Ovis aries: one gene and its partners. The protein of the gene in region 1 interacts with the protein of each later gene in a pairwise test. Links are inferred from orthologs where the notes say so. Each region holds a gene or a part of one and is shown in the gene's direction. Other genes may lie near its edges. The genes, in order: EXOC1, RESF1 and SFR1.

What was found.
Region 2: the proteins of EXOC1 (region 1) and RESF1 interact in a two-hybrid assay, tested with the Homo sapiens proteins (2 studies listed by BioGRID and IntAct). The link is inferred for Ovis aries from reciprocal best matches to the Homo sapiens genes EXOC1 and RESF1.
Region 3: the proteins of EXOC1 (region 1) and SFR1 interact in a two-hybrid assay, tested with the Homo sapiens proteins (2 studies listed by BioGRID and IntAct). The link is inferred for Ovis aries from reciprocal best matches to the Homo sapiens genes EXOC1 and SFR1.

What each region holds. Positions count from the first base shown.
Region 1 is NC_056059.1:71,998,241-72,001,989, forward strand, and holds the start of EXOC1 (exocyst complex component 1), read left to right. Parts: upstream 1-1,479; 5' UTR 1,480-1,634; exon of another isoform or gene 1,635-1,822; intron 1,823-3,749.
Region 2 is NC_056056.1:183,477,582-183,481,330, reverse strand, and holds the start of RESF1 (retroelement silencing factor 1), read left to right. Parts: upstream 1-1,133; 5' UTR 1,134-1,168; exon of another isoform or gene 1,169-1,172; intron 1,173-2,428; 5' UTR 2,429-2,518; intron 2,519-3,749. UniProt on the Homo sapiens protein: Plays a role in the regulation of imprinted gene expression, regulates repressive epigenetic modifications associated with SETDB1.
Region 3 is NC_056075.1:24,378,952-24,382,700, forward strand, and holds the start of SFR1 (swi5-dependent recombination DNA repair protein 1 homolog), read left to right. Parts: upstream 1-1,136; 5' UTR 1,137-1,202; coding exon 1,203-1,215; exon of another isoform or gene 1,216-2,312; coding exon 2,313-2,428; exon of another isoform or gene 2,429-2,983; coding exon 2,984-3,394; exon of another isoform or gene 3,395-3,749. UniProt on the Homo sapiens protein: Component of the SWI5-SFR1 complex, a complex required for double-strand break repair via homologous recombination. Acts as a transcriptional modulator for ESR1.

The sequences.
Region 1 (3,749 bases):
CCCATTCTGATTTAACTCATTTAAACTCTCCATGCTATAACCTGCAAGTATCTAGATTTAGATTTAAAGCAAGAGAGTTTGAGAAAAACATCTACTTCTGCTTTATTTACTACACCAAAGCCTTTGACTGTGTGGATCACAAAAAACTGTGGAAAATTCTTCGAGAGATGGGAATACCACACCATGTTACCTGACACCTGAGAAATCTGTATGCACGTCAAGAAGCAACAGTTAGAACTGGACACAGAACAACAGACTGGTTCCAAATTGGGAAAGGAGTATGTCAAGGCTATATCTTGTCACCCAGCTTATTTAACTTATATGCAGAGTATATCATGTGAAATGCCAGGCTGGATGAAGCACAAGCTGGAATCAAGAGTGCCGGGAGAAATATCAATAGCCTCAGATACGCAGATGACACCACCCTTATGGCAGAAAGCAAAGAGGAACTAAAGAGCCTCTTGATGAAAGTGAAAGAGGAGAATGAAAAAGCTGGCTTAAAGCTCAACATTCAGAAAACGAAGATCATGGCATTCGGTCCCATCATTTCATGGCAAATAGATGGGGAGACAGTGGAAACAGTGGCTGACTTTATTTTGGGGGGCTCCAAAATCACTGCAGATGGTGACTGCAGCCATGAAATTAAAAGATGCTTACTCCTTGGAAGAAAAGTTATGACCAACCTAGACAGCATATTTAAAAGCAGAGATATAACTTTGCCAACAAAGGTCTGTCTAGTCAAGGCTATGGTTTTTCCAGTGGTCATGTATGGACGTGAGAGTTGGGCTATAAATAAAACTGAGCACCCAAGAATTGATGCTTTTGAACTGTGGTGTTGGAGAAGACTCTTGAGAGTCCCTTGGACTGCAAGGAGATCGCACCAGTCAATCCTAAAGGAAATCAGTGCTGAATGTTCAGTGGAAAGACTGATGTTGAAGCTGAAACTCCAATACTTTGGCACCTGCTACGAAGAACTGACTCACTGGAAAAGACCCTGAGACTGGGAAAGATTGAAGGCAGGAGGAGAAGGGGATGAGAGAGGATGAGATGGTTGGATGGCATCACCGACTCGAAGGACATGCGTTTGAGCAAGCTCATGGGAGTTGGTGATGGACAGGGAAGCCTGGCAAGCTGCAGTCCATGGGGTCTCAAAGTCCACAGGGACACGACTGAGCGACTGAACTGAACTGAACTGGTCTGATCTAGATTTAACTGAACTTTAGGCGTGCAAAAAAGAAAACATTTGATTAGATCTCTTCTTCAGTGAACTGTTGAAAATAGCTGAATAAATAAGTCTTCTAGAGAAAGGAATACGCACACCAAATCCCCCAGGTTCGGAGTCAGTCTCCAGCGACAAGGCCCGCTCCTGCCTGTCCTAGACACGCCCCTCCGGAGAGACCTGACCCCACCCCCTTACCAAGGCCAAAGCCGCGACTGCTTCCTTCTCAACCCAACCGACTTCCGGCAGGGAGGTGTGTCACGTGCCCGGATATAGGAAGTGGTGGCCGGACGGCTGCTTCCAGTTCACTGCTTAGTTGAGGGGTTCATCTTAGTAACGGTGGCCGCCCCAGTCCTGTCCGGTCTCCGTCTTGGAGGACCCGCCTCGGCACAGCCGGGCTCGGTCCGGCCTTGCGGTAAGCCTTCGGCCGCGGCTGCCGGGCGGTCCTGGCGGCGGCGGACAAATGAACGGAGGGGTGGACGCCAAGGTCTGAGGCGGCTCCTCAGTCCCGGTGCTGGTCTAGCGCCGGGGGCTGGGTACTGCTCACTCCGCCGTCAAAGCCCCCTTCTCTTTCCCAGCCCTTCTGGGTAAGGCGGAGAGGCCGGTGGGAGGATCCCGTTACCCCCTTGTTATCCTGGGGGGCTGGGAGGGCAGCCCAGACGTCCTTTTCCGGTTCCGCCCATGAAAATCAGATTTCATCGTAAAAAATGGTCTTGAACAGTTTGTTCTTTGGCTTGGACCAGGAGGGGAGGGTCTGGCAGTACCTTCCCTTTCTTTGTCCAAATCCTCATTTTCTTCTTCCCTGGTAGCTCAGATGGTAAAGTGTGTGCCTGCAATACGGGAGACCCGGTTCAATCCCTGGGTCGGGAAGATCCCGGGTTCAATCCCTGCGCCAGGAAGATCTCCTGGAGAAGGAAATGGCAACTCCAGTATTCTTGCCTGGAAAATCCCATGGATGGAGGAACCTGATAGGCTACAGTCCATGGGGTCGCAAAGAGTCGGACACGACTGAGCGACTTCACTTTCTTTCTTTCTTTCATTTTCTTCTAAATCTCATAAGTGCATTTCCCTGTTGCCATGCTGTGGCGTGTTATCTTCAGTGCTCCATGCACTAAGGTGTCTGGATAGCAGACAGGGTACTTACCCACACGCACTCACTCTCACGACAGTACTGCTTACAAGTTATCTGCCACATCCTGTAGTGATCCGGCTGGATTTAAGGAAACAAGGACCGACATAGAGTATTGTGGCTGACTGTCTCTGGAACGTGGTCAGACATGGGTTCTTATACCTGGAAAATAGTTTTAAAGAACTTCTAATGATTTATTCACTGACTTACCAAAAAAGTATTATAAACACTGGAGAGTTACTCACGCCATCTTTATAAAGTAGATGCCGTTGGAGGCAAGAATCTTCCTGTCTTCGTGGATGAAGAAGTGAAGTGAAGTCGCTCAGTCGTGTCCGACTCTTTGCAACCCCATGGACTGTAGCCTACCAGGCTCCTCTGTCCGTGGGATTTTCCAGGCAATAGTACTGGAGTGGATTGCCATTTCCTTCTCTAGGGGTTCTTCCCAATCCAGGGATTGAACCCGGGTCTCCCGCATTGTAGACAGACGCTCTACCATCGGAACCACCAGGGAAGTCTTCCTGGATATGTCTGTCATATTCACCATGGTACCTAGAATTTTGCCTCGCACTTAGTAGGCATCAGTGTTTGCTGAATGTGTAGTGCTTTTCATTCTGCCTAACTCCTTTATCAACTGTGCTGAGTTCCTCTCTTGTTTTTACCACTTAACCATATTGTCAGTCCTTGCTTTTGACCAGAGAGGGATTGGGTGATAGATGCTGACCACTAATAGTCATTTATTCATTTAACCAGTTTTTATAATTCAGCTTAGATTTCCTCAAGAGGTATTTGTTTAGCACTTACAAAGAACATGAAACTGCTAAAACACCTCCTCCCCCAGCCATCCCCCCGTCCCTTGAAGAGAGTTCTTGAGATCCAGGAACTTGTGACTTTATGAACCAGTTGGACAGCAAGTGTTGTATGTTTAACAAATGCAATAAGTGATATAGCAGTTGAGAGGAGAGATCAATTTGGGTTAAGGTCTGTATTGAATCAGTTCAGTTTATTTGCTCAGTCATGTCTGACTCTGTGACCCCCATGGACTGCAGCGTGCCAGGATTCCATGTCCATCACCAACTCCCAGAGCTTGCTCAAACTTATCTCCATCAAGTCAGTGATGCCGTCCAACCATCTCATCCTCTGTCATCTGCTTCTTCCTTCAACCTTTCCCAGCATCAGGGTCTTTTTCAAGGAGTCAGTTTGTTGCATCAGATGGCCAAAGTATTGGAGTTTTAGCTTTAGCATCAGCCCTTTCACTGAACATTCAGGACTGATTTCCTTTAGGATTGACTGTGTTGAATCAAGTTCATGTAAATTATGGAATGTTGTTAGGATTTGGGTAGATGATACCCTCTGCATGGAAAATATCCTAAGCAAAGATTTAAAGGCTAGAATGATCAGAGG
Region 2 (3,749 bases), on another chromosome or scaffold:
TGTTTTATGTTTACAGGACCATCATAACCAGACCTATGTGGATAGCTGCAGGAGCAGAGGGTTATCACATCACCTTGGGGGTATGACCTGCACCAAGAAGGTCACACCTTCATACCTGCAACAGCCAACCACACTCCCTCCCCCTTTAGTATAAAAGAAGCCTGAATTCTAATTCAGGTTTAAGATGTTTCTTCGGGACACTGGTCTGCCATCTTTTCTGTCTGCTGGTTTTCTGAATAAAGTCACTATTCTTTGTTCCAACAACTGGCCCCTCGATTTATTGGCAAGTCATGCAGCAGGCAGTGTCAGTTTGCATTTGGTAACTAAACTGCAATTTGGGTCAAGCAAACTGTAGCAAAAGCCAGAGTCCAACAAACAAAGCAAAGTTACTTTATGGAGAAAATTGAGTTTGGGAGCAGTTCTTTTGAAGGAAATATCATTGGGGAAAAGTGAGGGTGACAGTTTCTCATTGGCTGAGTTGTGGGGTAGTCTATTTCTTTTAGGAGCCGCAATGTATGGGTTGGTCAAAAAGTTTGTTGGACAGCTTACATCTTTTCCTGTTGGGCCCTGTAATTGACAATTCTTTCTGTAATTTACTGAGAGTGGTACCGAACTGTATGACAGCTCCCCCTTCTGGCCTCTCAACTCTATTTTGGTGAGGTTTCCCTTTACTGTATTAATTTTCACAACTTTGATCTATAGAAACCTTCAGGCAAAAAGAGTCTATTTCCTTCGAGAAAGTTTCTCTGTTAAAGGATGTTCCCCTTTGTTAGAAATATACGTTTTCACCCCGGAGTTAGACTTACTGAATGGGTAATTTTGTAGGTGGTGCTTTTCAGTCCCTTTTTAACAACCTTCAAAAGATTCTGATGTAAGTTAAAGACAGCCACTGTTGGAGAAGTTTTCTTCTTCAGATACATGAGCTGGCTGTGCAAGCTTGGGAGAAACTGGAGGACCGGGCTCCCCGGACTCTACTTCATCCGAGCGGCACTAGGACCCCGGTACCGGATACCAGGTCTCGCTACTGCCGTTGCGCCGGGGCGGGGTTGGCTTTCCGGGAGTGGGCCTCCCCCTCGACCCGCCCCTGGAGGCGGACCCGAGTTGACTTAAACTCCGGGGCCGAGAGGCGCTGCGTTTTCCCCGCTCGCCCAGGTTGGGTTCAGCTCCGGTAGGTAAGTGGGGACCTGGTTCCCGCCGGCACTCGCACGTTTCCTCGGGTTCTCGGCGCGGCGGGGTGGGGCACCGGCAGCCCAAGTGCCCGCAGGCGAGGGCTGGGTGTGCGGCGGCGAGTGCTTTTGTTCTGTGGTGGGGACTCAGCGGCAGCTCCGGGGGCTCGGGTCTCGGGCCAGCGGTGAGGGCTGGCCCGTCGGGCTCGGCTTGGTGCCCGCCCACCGCGCGGGGAGGGCCGGGAACCGGGGCGGATGTCGACCCCTAATCGGAGGGCGGCGCCTCGCCGGGTGTTTTCTGCAGAACGCCTTTCCTCACCATAGAGGTCGCGGGTGGCGACTGCGAGGACGCATTTTGTTAAACTGCAAGGCGATTGGTTAGACTGATGGATGTGAGAGTGGCTTATGTTTTTAATGATTTCCTGTCGCTGGCTTGAAAAAAAAAATCTTTGTTTTGAATTATTTTTCCAGTATTCCCTTCCTCCCCACCCCCATTAGGCCGAACCTCCCAAAACAAAATTGCTCAGCTTGCGTCTCCAAGTGGCCCGCAAACAACGTTTGTGCTGGAGTTGCTTTCCGTTCCTCAGCAGTAGTTAGTCCCTCGAGGCATTTTTAAATGCACAAATGCGTACCGATTTTAGATGTTCTCGAGGGATACGAATTTCCTAAGCAGATGTCCTTTGGGAACAGCAAGTTTTCAGAGAATGGTTCAGTGAAAACAATTTATTTGTAATATTTTAATGCTTGCCTTCAAAATAAAAAGAGTAGGTGAAGGGGATGAGCTAGGGTGCATTTAAATAGACGGGTCGCGGAGCTTGTTCGGGGATTTTTCTGATTGATGCGTTAACTCTAAATCAGATGAGTTCTAATCGGTGTTAACATGAAAGAGTTAGCGTTTTATTTTTTCCTGTGCAGTTGGATTCTCATTTACTAATTCGATAAAGAATTGTTAAGTTGAAAGTGTTCAGAGTGATAGAAGGAGTGGATCAGGAGGCGTGCAGTTGAATTATAACTTAAAAAGTAAATGGTAATTTACAGCAGACCCAGTTCTGTTTGTTACTTTGTCTTCTTAAGAATTCAGTAAGCTTAGTTTGCTTTTGATCCAGCCTTAACACAGTTTGAGCGGCAATGTCATATCAAGTAAGCAAATTAGTATGTATCTTTATTATAAGTTTAATGTGAATTTTATATAAATAAAAATACAATTACAAATTTTATATTGAATTTATTGTCAATTATAAAATGTTTACTGCTGTCCCTAGGACCAAAGAAGTAAACACTGTGTGGAGTGGTACTGACAAGTTTGGAGGGAAATGGTAACATACAGTAATAAAGGAGTAATGTATTTAAAGGTAAGTGAGTCAGCTTTGAGTAGTCTACTCTAATTTATCTGTTATGGAACAGAATGATTAAGCTGAACCAGTATTGGTTCAGTATTAAACTACAATGGCTCAGACAGTAAAGAATCTACTTGCAATGCAGGAGACCTGGGTTCGATCCCTGGCTTGGAAAGATCCTCTGGAGAAGGGAATGGCTACCCACTCCAGTATTCTTGCCTGGAGAATTCTGTGGACAGAAGAGCCTGGCAGGCTACAGTACCTGGGGTCACAAATAGCTGGACAGCACTGAGCGGCTAAGACCACCACCAGCTTACAAAGGATTTGATGACAAAGTTTGAGGAGAAATAATACAGTTGACATAGCAAGGAATTCATATTATTCATCTTTACTAGAAAAGGAATAGATGATGGTCTAAATTACTGAGGAAGAGGTCTACTTAACATTATTCTCTACATGGTCTGTTTCTTATTTTATTATTCAAATTCATTTCTTGTGGCACATGGGATAAGGCAGCACAGAGCAGAATTCTGAGAGAACCAATCTCTAAAATAGGGACCTGTACAGCCAAAGTGATCATTTCTGGGGTGTCCATTCTGTAAACTCCCAAGTAGTATTAGGAAACTTGCTGTAATGATTTGAGACCATGGTCCCTGCAGTCACACTGCTGAGCATCAGATCTTGGCTCTTCCACTTACCATCTATGCAGCCTTGGGAGAATTATTAAACTTCTCTGTATCGGTTTCCTCATCGTTTGTAAAATAGAGATAACAATAGTATCAACCTCATGGTATTGTTACGGTAAGTTAATGAGTTTTGTAGATATAACACACTTGGAACAGCTCCTGGTAAATGGTAAGTACTTAATAAATTTTAGCTGTTGTCATGTTAGAGGAAATATATTTTATGGCCTGTCTTATAGGAGATGGTTCACTCATTTAAACTCTAAATCAGTTTATCAGCTTTGTGTTGATTAAACCCTTCCCTGTAGATCCTGTAAGTTCTATTTTTGTAAGGAAGTATCAGGCACAACTCTAGTTTTTACCTGCAGGCATGTTTGAAGTCAGTAATGCTTCTACAAAATTTTCCAGCCAGGGCAGATTTGTCCAAAAGCATTATGTTCCCTGTTCTGGATATACAGGACCCTTCTTCCCTGATAGCTCAGTTGGTAAAGAATCTGCTTGCAATGCAGGAGATCCTGGTTCAATTCCTTGGTCGGGAAGATCCACTGGAGAAGGGATAGGCT
Region 3 (3,749 bases), on another chromosome or scaffold:
TATGTTCTTAATCACTGCATTAGGTGGTCTTCAAGTTCTGTAGATACATTCCACTGTTTAGCACTCAGTTATTCCGTCTGGGTCCTTGCTACTTGTAAGCCATTTATATCAGATATTAGTAAAAAGACAGTGTCAACGTTTAAAATGGCTATTCCTTAGAATTCAAAACACTGCCCCGCTAAAATTCCCAACTTCCACGTGACTCAGAAATTACTCAACTGTCTTTTCCCAAACTCAGTGCTCCACCCAATTAGTTCACTTTGTTGTTGCACAGCAACGGAACCTCGCTACACAGGAAACGAGGAGGGTTATTTTAGACCGAGGATGCCACTGCCCAGTATTCAGCCAGGGTTTGGACCAACCTAATCTTAGTCATTGTTCTGCTTCCTGTATTGCACCCCAACGACTTTCCTTGGGCTACATTTTCTTTCAGGTTTGACGAAAAGATTCGGAGCCAAGCTAAGAAACCTAAATTTTCAGACAGATTCGCCAAAAGAAGGAAGAGAAAAAAACAAAAACAAAAAACCACCCGTGGCGGGACCGCAGACTTTGAGGCAGCAGTCTAAAAGAAGCTCTACTGGTTCCGCTGGGGTTCTTAGATTTCTAATGTGTCTGACTGTCAACGGGCCATTGACCCATCTTTTTGTAGTCTTTGCCTTTGGAGTTTACAAGCTGTAAATATAACACACAGCAGGCCCGGAGTCTCTGGGTCCCGTGGAATCTGAGAAAAGGCCTTTGCTGTGGGGAGCGCGAAGAGACTGATGGGAGCTAGGAGAACAGGAGGGGCATTCTCAGGCGTCCTTTAGAAACACAAAACCCAGGAAGCTGCAAAGGAAGGCGGTATGAAAAAAGAGCGAGAAGAAGCCGCGAAGAAAAGCGCGCACCTCATGGGAACCGTTAGTTGCTTTAAAGCTCTTCCCAGCAAACGGCCGCGCGCGCAGTGCCGCGACTCTCGGGCGCTGGGCGGAGCAGAGCCGCGCGTATCGGTCAACTCGGCCAATCACGCGTCACGGCCCCTCCGTTTCGTCCTGCCCCCTTGCGGAATCTCGAGGCCGCGCGCGCGCAGTCCCGCCTCTCCGGGCGCTGGGCGGAGAGGACCTGTGTGTCAATCAATCTGGCCAATCGCGCGTCTCTTCCTCCTCCCGCGCGGCCCGGCCTCTGAAACGGCGCCGCGGCTAGCGCGCTCTTTGTGCTGTCTGGGGATGGCTGAGGGAGGTACCGTGCGGGGTGTGGGGTGGGTGTCTGACAGCTGAACTTCTTCGGGGTTCGGATGGGGAATTGAATAATGCTCCCTTTCCGCGGTCAAGGCACCTCTCAGCTCCACCTCAGGTTTTGGGTGTCTCGAGGGCTCGTGTGGGCCTTCTGTAGTGGCTGGAGGGGAGGGAGGGCTCCTCTGGTATTTTACCCTGTAAAGTTGATGGCCTTTGAGAAACTTAAGTCTCTCCTTTTCACGGTCTCTTCGCTATTTAATTGAAAACGATGCAGACAGGAGTAAACTTACCTGTGCTTGTGCTCCTTATTCCTCACCCCCGGGGGGCGTTAGTTTTAGGCACACAGCTTCTAGGATTTAGGGTAGTGTGACAGGTCTGATTATGTTTATTTAAGTGGGATAGTAGTGGGAAGTAGGAGAATGTGATCCATAATCAAGAGGAAGAGTAATCAATAGATAAAGGCATAAGATGAACTCAATTTAAACACCGAAAAGCACTTTAAAGAAGTTATAAATATATTTTTTTAATTTTAAAATATTGTCTTCTGTTGTGGCTCAGCTGGTAAAGAATCCGCCTGCAATACGGCAGACCTGGGTTCGATCCCTGGGTTGGGAAGATGCCCTGGAGAAGGGACCGGCTACCCACTCCAGTATTCTGGCCTGGAGAACGCCATGGACTGTATAGACCATGGGGTCGCAAAGAGTCGGACACGACTGAGCGATTTGCACTTAAAGCACTAAAGGATTTCAATTACATTTTCCTTCATTGTGAAACTGGCTTAATGAGATTAAAGAATTCCTGAATGTTATTCTCCTCCCCGCCTACCCCGCCCCACCACCATATGGCAGGTTTTGAGACTTTTATCAGTCAGTAAAAACAAATGGAGAGTTGTTTATATGAGATGCTAGCTGGGTAACTTGTCATGAAAAAACTAGTAGTCACCATAATGACCAACAATCTAATTTAGGGAAGTAAACAGAAAATTGCACGCAAAAAAGCAAGAATGAATCACAGCTAAGTGAAAGGAAGTTGTTTAAAATTGAATATATAGAGGTGTGGGCAAAGTTGATTTCTGTTTTGTCATTATTTTCTGTTTTTTAGAAGTAAAGCAAGATTTCAAGATGGAAAGTCCATCAAACTCGGCTTTGATGTTACCTAGCACTCCACAAGCTGGTGCCAATCCACCATCTCCCCATTCAAGTAGTTCAAGAAAACAAGTATGAAAATCTTAGTTCTTTCACTGGATGTATATTTCTAAGTATTGCAGTAATGGTGGTTTTAAGTCTACTGAACATTGTCAATAGTGTGTAGGTTAATAAATAAAATTTTTGTTAACATCATTTTAGGTGTTTCCTTTTAGAAAATGTATTGGACCTTCCTCTTAGATTTTCATCCTGACTCAATTATTTTCATTTATTTTCAGTTCAGGTTATTACAGCATTCCAAACAAAAAGTTTGATGTCATGGAGGTCTTTGGTGGAAAGATCTTTTTCCTTAATTTGTAACTAAGCACCTAACCATATCAGGCTTGGACTAATTGCTGAACAAATGTTTGTGATTACTGAGTAGAAGAGTGCTGGCTTAAAAAGAGAATAAAACTTAGTGGAGCTTCCAGAAATTGAAAGGTATTTTGTGATGGTTACTTTAGATATATGGAGACAGAAAGCCATCTAGTGGTGTCTGCCACAGAAATGTAGTCTTGATTCCTAGTAGATTTATTTATATCAAGAATGTTTTTCTTGATTGACATTAACGTTTGATGCCTTTTTCAGCCTATGAGTGCAACCCTTAGAGAACGATTAAGGAAAACCAGATCTTCATTTAATTCCTGTTACAGTGTGGTAAAACGGCTTAAAGTAGAGAGTGAGGAAAATGATCAGACTTTTTCACAGAAATCAGCACCTTCAACAGAAGAAAACTGTTTGGAATTTCACGAAAAATTTAAACACATAGATAGTGAATTTGAAGAAAGTACATATTTGAAAGATACCTTCAAGAATATCAATGTTTGTGAATCTAAATCACTTGATGCTGAGCCATCCAGTGATCTCCAAAATGACTTTATGAATGAGAATCTTGCCAAGCATGAACTAAACAAAGAAAAAGCAGAATTGATGAAGCAGATTCACGAGAAAGAAGATCTTCTTCGGAGGCTGAAGCTAGTCAAAATGTATAGATCAAAGGTGAGAAGAATTTCAGAGCCGTTGCCTAATAATTTTTTTGTTTGTTTGTTTTTAGATAAATGGTAGGAAAATATTTCAAAAAGAAAATACAACTTTATTTTACAATACTTAGAAATAAGCCAATTACCAAGAGACCTGGCTTCCAACAACTTTAACTCAAATATAAGTCATAGATTTAGAGAAGAGGCCTTAAACACCAAGTATACATTTTTGAAAGCCCCAGCCCACATTTAATATGCAGTTGAAGCTTTTCCCTCTAGTTTCCATCCCACAGCAGTATTAGAAGTTTCAAATGTTAGCTGCAAATTGCAATGAGAACAGAAGCAACAGTGACAGTGAAGAGAAAAAGGCTAAA